Daphnia pulex: one gene and its partner. The main gene of each other region encodes a partner of the protein of the gene in region 2 in a complex. Links are inferred from orthologs where the notes say so. Each region holds a gene or a part of one and is shown on either strand. Other genes may lie near its edges.

What was found.
Region 1: exosome complex component RRP4-like (region 2) and exosome complex component CSL4-like share a complex: the UniProt entries of both Caenorhabditis elegans proteins name them as parts of the RNA exosome complex. The link is inferred for Daphnia pulex from reciprocal best matches to the Caenorhabditis elegans genes exos-2 and exos-1.

The regions. Positions count from the first base shown.
Region 1 is NC_060026.1:7,116,021-7,119,345, forward strand, and holds exosome complex component CSL4-like, read right to left. Parts: upstream 1,606-3,325; 5' UTR 1,587-1,605; coding exon 1,451-1,586; intron 1,391-1,450; coding exon 1,272-1,390; intron 1,177-1,271; coding exon 1,107-1,176; intron 1,051-1,106; coding exon 872-1,050; intron 789-871; coding exon 582-788; 3' UTR 553-581; downstream 1-552. Other genes in the region: protein SERAC1-like, read right to left, coding at 1-277, 351-418. UniProt on the Caenorhabditis elegans protein: Non-catalytic component of the RNA exosome complex which has 3'->5' exoribonuclease activity and participates in a multitude of cellular RNA processing and degradation events. Involved in regulation of antisense ribosomal siRNA production.
Region 2 is NC_060023.1:8,701,175-8,704,724, forward strand, and holds exosome complex component RRP4-like, read right to left. Parts: upstream 2,068-3,550; 5' UTR 1,954-2,067; coding exon 1,835-1,953; intron 1,775-1,834; coding exon 1,537-1,774; intron 1,477-1,536; coding exon 1,342-1,476; intron 1,284-1,341; coding exon 1,113-1,283; intron 1,048-1,112; coding exon 913-1,047; intron 851-912; coding exon 770-850; 3' UTR 737-769; downstream 1-736. Other genes in the region: uncharacterized protein LOC124197887, read left to right, coding at 1-140; CDP-diacylglycerol--glycerol-3-phosphate 3-phosphatidyltransferase, mitochondrial-like, read left to right, coding at 2,306-2,569, 2,634-3,539. UniProt on the Caenorhabditis elegans protein: Non-catalytic component of the RNA exosome complex which has 3'->5' exoribonuclease activity and participates in a multitude of cellular RNA processing and degradation events. Involved in regulation of antisense ribosomal siRNA production.

The DNA of each region.
Region 1 (3,325 bases), on a different chromosome or scaffold from region 2:
AGTATGAGAAGGGAGTTCTGATTTAAGAATTCGAAGAAGATGCCAGGGATTTGAATCAAGACCAAGATGTGTTGGTCCCTTCATAAGAGTCTCCACCATTTGTTCAACATTTTTCAGTTTAGAGGTCATAGCATGAATCTCAGTTTCAATTACAGTTTGAGGAATAGCAATATAGCACCCAGCCTTTTGACGTTCTCTCTCAACTGCGGCATCTGACAATAAAGATGAAAACCGGCGGTTTAAAGAATGAATTTGGTATGCCAGAGTAGTTCCTCCTCTTCATAAAAAAGAAAAGATACATTGTAGTTTTCTATATGCTGATTACAAGAACTCGCTAGGAATTGAAATACCCAATTATAAAAATGACAGCTAGAGATTTCGGCAAATTTTTCCATTTCACTTGGCGATGTTTCCTCATTTTATTTACATGCTTGAAAAAACTATAAGAATATAAATTATGATTAGAAAAAAGGAACTTGGAGAAAATGAAATGAATTGAACAGAAACGCAAGCAGTCGACAAAACACCAATAAAATAAAATCCGAAAAGCTTTGTTGTCAAATTTCATGTATTAATATAATCTAGACGCCTGTTGCATTTTCGTTTGAAATTGTTTCTGGCGAAACTTTTGCAACTTTTCTCAATTCTTTAACATAAGTTTTTGGGCACTGCATTTCTTGCCATCCTACTGGAACCATAGGAGTACCTTCTTCACTGTATGCTATAACAACACCCAATTCATTTTCTGCTGTTGACAAAACATAGGAATGTGCATCACCTAATGAGAGCTAACAGCAACATGAAAAAAAATTTCATCTTAGAAGTCATACTCACTTTACAGTTGAAATAATGATCAAAATCAAATAATTACCACTCTTGCTAAAATAATGTCATTGGGACGAAAACATTTGTACATTTCAACCCTGTCCTTTTCTGTAGCACGCACATCTTCTTTCCTCAGCTGTCCTCTAAAGGGTTCTGCCAATACAATGTCCTTAACACACAAAATGGCACATCGTGCCCAGCGAGGATTTATTTGTGTTACTCTGGCTATTTAAAGGTTTAAGATGAAATTCACAAAATTCAACACATAATTTAAACAGTACCTGTAACCACATCACCAGCAGATGGAACAACTGTCTGTTCTTTACCACTTCTAACCTCTATCAGGATTCTCTAGGAAGAAAAGTTTGAACATAATATTCGGAAGTTCATTATTTCACACCAAATGAATTGTTTCACTGATCTAATTTCACTGTTTAACCACTAACCTTATCAGGTTGTGAAGTTACTTTAACAACACCTGCTAAACATGATGTGATATAACCTTGTCTTGTGTAAGTTCCGGCTCCTCCAATATATTGGTTATCCGACAGACATATGCGTTGTCCTGAAAAATGCAAACATTTTATCAAAATGACAACTAAAAAAATATGTTTTTTAATATTACCGGGAGTGCATATTACACATTTGTCTGATTCTTTATTCGTCATTTTTTTCGCACACCAGAACAACTTCGAAGTTAGAAAAAAACGTCGACTGCTGGGCGGCTCACGGGTGGGGTTCGTTAAGTGTGCACACAGCATGAACTACTCTAATTAAGGACGGTATATTCTTCGGCGTTTCCTATGTCGGCCATGTAAATTTTTTTGTGGGAGAATCAGAATCAGAATTTAAAAATTATCATAGAATTACCATATGTTCCTATAGGGCTCTTCGGGATCTGTTTTATTTAGCCGATTTATCTGGCAACGCAGCATGGTTCGAGACTTTTTTAGGGCTAGAACGGGGAGAAGAGGGAGGATGGGAGGAATGGGAGGGAGGAGGGTGTCCTCCCATTCTCCCTCTTCTCCCCGTTCTCGCCCTAAAAAAGTCTCGAACCATGCTGCGTTGCCAGATAAATCGGCTAAATAAAACAGATCCCGAAGAGCCCTATACCTAACATTTATTTTTATAGAGATATTTCCAATTCCTTAACGAAAAATTTGAAATAGGGCAAAACACCAGTGCCATCTAGGAACCAAACCTCCTAAGCTCTTGTTAGTTTGCAAGCAGATGCCCATGCATGCATACCGAGAGAAAGAAAAAACCACTCTCTTATCTAGTCCTCTGACATAGCTGCCTAACTATATTTTACCTTGTAGCGTATATTCTTAAGAGCTTAGGGTGTTTGGTTGCTAGATGGCACCGGTGTTTTATCCTTTTACCCCTACTTCTGAAAGTAAATTTATAATATCTTAATGATTAGTTTATTTCACTAAGATTTATATCTATAGTTGGAATCAGCAAAAAAAACTGAATTTAATGATATTTTTTATTAATGTTTTCATGAAAATACCCCACCCGACTAGCTTTAACAAGGCAGGATAGGCGAAGAATCCCGTCCTTAATTAGAGTAGTCCATGCACACAGTCAATCTCCCAATAGACGTTGCCAAAAGTCACGTGATGCCACATTTTACCCAATAAGATGATGCCTTGAGTACTCTCGACCATGCCTACTCTCGACATGGTACGGAAAGTGTGTTTAACAAAGCCAGGGGTATGGAAAGACCCCCATACCTTTCTCTCCATACCCCTGACAAAGCTGCCATGTCCCAGCAAATTGCGTGAAATCTATTGCCATGCCGGTCCGACAGGGCAATAGCCATAGAGAGCTATTGCCCTGTCAGTGCTAAAACCGCCACCTGGCGACGGCTATTGGTAGCCTTTCTGAACCAAGAACAATCTTAATGGTAAAACTTTTAGGTTTGGTTTGGGTTTTTAAAATAAGATGCATAGGGTAAAATTACAAACAAATTTTATGACAAAAATTTTATTTTTTCGAAAAACACATGTCACGATATGATGTCAGCTACCTGCGTTATTAGCAAGGTATCCGAAGGGATGTTTATGATTTTTTTTTCATAAAAATCAATCAAATAGCATATGAGAAAGATGAACTTCAAAAGAAAAAAAATTGTAGCGTTTTTGAATCCATATGAATACTATGTAGAATTAACGACTAGGAAAGTTATAATTTAATATGGAACGTTTAATATTGTAAAGTTATCCCAGAAAATTTTTCATTTAATTTGTTTTCTTATGATTATAAACCTTAATCTGGAATAAGTTAACACGAAAATAATTTCTCGTTTTTTTTTATTTTACTATGTTTGGATCCAACAAAACTAGAGTTAAATTAAAGTAAGCTATTGTATATTAATTATGGATATTTTATAAAATTTCGTATCATTATGGATGAATAGTTTTAAAACTCGTTTATAGTAAGACATTTTTGAAAAACGCAACGCATTTGTTGGGTTTTTACCTGGTTTATTTACAAC
Region 2 (3,550 bases):
CCGTATTCAACAGCACTTGCCCAACAAAGACGTCCGTCCTGGCGTTGGCCGTCACATGCGCTCTTCTCTTATTACTGTACATCTGCACCGTGTTCTACTTCCTCATGCGCCGCTGGTTGGGACCCGACAAGAGCGTCTAAGATTACAAACCCATCTAATCAAGGTGGAATCCTAATATCTAAAAACACGGGACATTTTCCAATCGTGAAGCCCTCCTAAACATAATCGTTATCCATTCGTCGTCACGGAATTTCGCTAGATATTCATTGTTTCTATTTATCATTATTTTTTTTTTTTGTTAATTATTATTTGCTTGATTTGTTAAAGCAGCGCTTTAACATGACTTCCGGTTAAATCTTTTTTTTTTCCTTCCTTGGTGGACCTAGGGAACGGGGTCCATTAGTAATTTATTATCCTATATAATCTTTTTAGGTGTTTCAAAACTAGCCCAGGGCATTTTGTTGAGTGGTGCTTACGGCAGATCTTATCCTGGTTTTCTCTAGCACACTTGTTTTAATGTAAATATGATTTGTGGGGGGGATGACTTATAAATGAAGTCTACAAAATTTTAATATTCTTGGGAAACCGGTTGTAGTTGGAAACAAAAAAAAACCGCCTTTATTATCGAATGTTTCTTCGTTTATGTTTTTCCCTGCCCCAGAATAAAACTTTGTCTGCAGTATGAATAAACTGATCCACACCATTAATGTTTGGGAAATCGAATGTCAACTTCTGGTTCAGCCTGAGCCATGTTTATTCGAAAATTAAATTATTCTTTTTCCATTTCGAACTGCTTACGAACCATTAAAGCGATTTCTTTTATCTTGTCCGGTAGGAGAAGATCCTTGATCTACATAAAAGCATTATATAAGTTAGCATTGAATTATTTAGTTTCAATGTAAAAATAATTACCTCAAGCCCAGCATTTACGGAGGCTTCGTAGGCATGCATAATGCTGGTATCATAGATCATCATCTTGCAGTGCGCCAAAGCTGTCACACAATTCCTTAACCGGCTTATAGCTTGTCGATCGGCATGCGGAACTGTCTATAGGTTTCAACAGAATTAGCTTCCACGTGATAATGTACAAACATCGACTTTTTAGTACGCACCTCCAAGTTTTGAACAAATCCACCGGCGCCATCGTCAAGGAGCGTAGGGCAGATCCAAACAAATCCATTGTTACCCATAATGATACTTGCTCCGCAAGGCAAGTTGTGGAAATGAGTCTTCTGTCTTCGGATCAAAGATGGACTAACTTTTATTAGGCAACCTTGGGAAAGCTATAACAGATAAATGGTTGTTATTACAGTTAATATTTTAAATAACTTATTGTTATACTTTTCCATATTTCATGCTGCGGGTGTGTAAAGAAAGAGCTCCATCATTGAAGATGTTTTGAACCTCTGCACTGACCAAATCTCCTTCTTTCAGGTATTGCCTCATGGCTAATTCATCTTCTGCTGATCTTCTTCTCTAAAAGCATTATGAGATATAAATATTTGTGTAATTGCACAAATAAAAAGTCTTTCTTACGAGTTCACCACCAGGCAAATTGACTGACTGAAGAAGAAGCACTGAATCTAATCTTGCATTGGTGTCCAGTTTCCAACGTTTCTGTGAAACCTCAGTAACCCTACCAATTACGACATCTCCAATCTCCCCATGATAACGAGATTTCAAGGGTCTAACTGAAATAAGTTGGTTGACTCTCTCCACAACTCCAGCAACACTGGAGTACAAACAGTCATCTTGCATGTATGTTCCATGACCCCTTAGCAAAACATAAAATAAGATTATCATCAAGAAAATGGCAAAACTTTTAACAATCTACCTCATGAATCCTGTTTCCTTTGTGATCAAAGAGCCAGGTGTGACAAGATGTTTGGGTTCAGTAGAATCAGCGACGATATGAAAAGGAGGCACTTCAGAAGCAAGGCGAATGTCTACCATTCTTTTGGTTTTAATTATCCTAATGTATCAAGTTCAAAAAAAAGGAAACAACAGCACACTTGAAAATGACAATAATTCATCGTGTTCTGCTATACCATGCTGCTACGTTGCCTAAGCTATGGCGATATCAAAATATTTAAGAATATAAATATTTGTGGATATTCTTGTCAAAATGATATTGTGCAATTTAAATCGACTAATTAACTTATGTTCGAAATGGAAAATATAAAGTCAACTGAAATTTTTTTAACGAATCAAATAAAACATTGCGCGAATCACATTAGTATTAATTTTTGCCATCAGATGTCTGTTTGTTTATATGCCGATTCATTTCATTCGTCCGTACAAGTAAATGTCACTAATTTGCCAAAAAGCAATACTTTTTTCAACAACGATATGCGTTGCTGGGCGACAACGAGTATCTTGGCACTTCCTTCCCAAGACTGCTCGCAGAGGTTGGCAACGTAACCTTGTCTCGAGATCACTTCATCTCCAGCATCGTCCCGAAATGGAACCCGACAGTGATGAACAGCAGAGAACGGAACTGTTAACGACCCTTGAAAATTTCAGATGGCTCGGAAGTAAAACCCCTTGTTTCCCTGTGAACGGAAATAAGGTTAGTGTTCTAATAAGGTATTTTATTAGTGTCTTCTAGTAATAGTTGTAAAATTTTTTCTTAGGTTCGAGTTTTGTCTGATCCTGAAGATTTCTACAAAACACTTATTGAAAAGACTAGTCAAGCAAGTCAAAGAGTCACTTTTGCATCCTTATATCTTGGAACAGGAAATCATGAAAATGAGCTTGTAAAAACAATTGAAAGTACTTTGAAGAAAAACTCTGGCTCCAGCCTGAAAGTTCGAATTCTGTTGGATGCAACAAGAGGCTCTAGAGGTGCCCAATTCAATTCCCGTACAATGCTGCTTCCCTTAGTTCAGTCCTACAGCCAGCAGTGTTCAGTCCATTTTTATCACACTCCAGCACTTAGAGGATTATTAAAGAAAATTCTCCCAGAAAGATGGAATGAAATTATTGGCTTGCAACATATGAAGATTTACATATTTGACGATTCCTTATTAATCAGTGGCGCAAATTTAAGCCACGATTACTTCACAAATCGGCAAGATCGATACATAATTATGGAAGATTGCAAAGATTTAGTGGATTTCTTTGACCAACTAGTAGAAACTGTGTGCCAGTTTTCATTTCATTTAAGTGAAAACAACTGCCTTAACTTGAATTCCGCTTTTCCTCACCATCCGTTTGAATCCAATCGGCTTGAATTTACAGAAGAAGCAAAACGGAGAATCAACAACTTGTTTGAAAAGCAAATAAAAGCAAATGTTTCGTCCTCGATATTTCAATGGCCGAATCCGTCTGCTTACGACACCTGGATCTTCCCTTTCGTCCAGATGGGGCAGCTAAACATTTACATGGATAACATCTTGACGCGCGAGATTCTAGAAAACGTACCGGCAAACGCCGAATTATGTCTAGCAACCGGGTACTTCAACCTGACTCAGGACTATATGGATAGTTTGCTAGAAGCGTCCCAGCCAAATGTTCACATTCTCATGGCACATCCTCTGGTAAGCCCCTA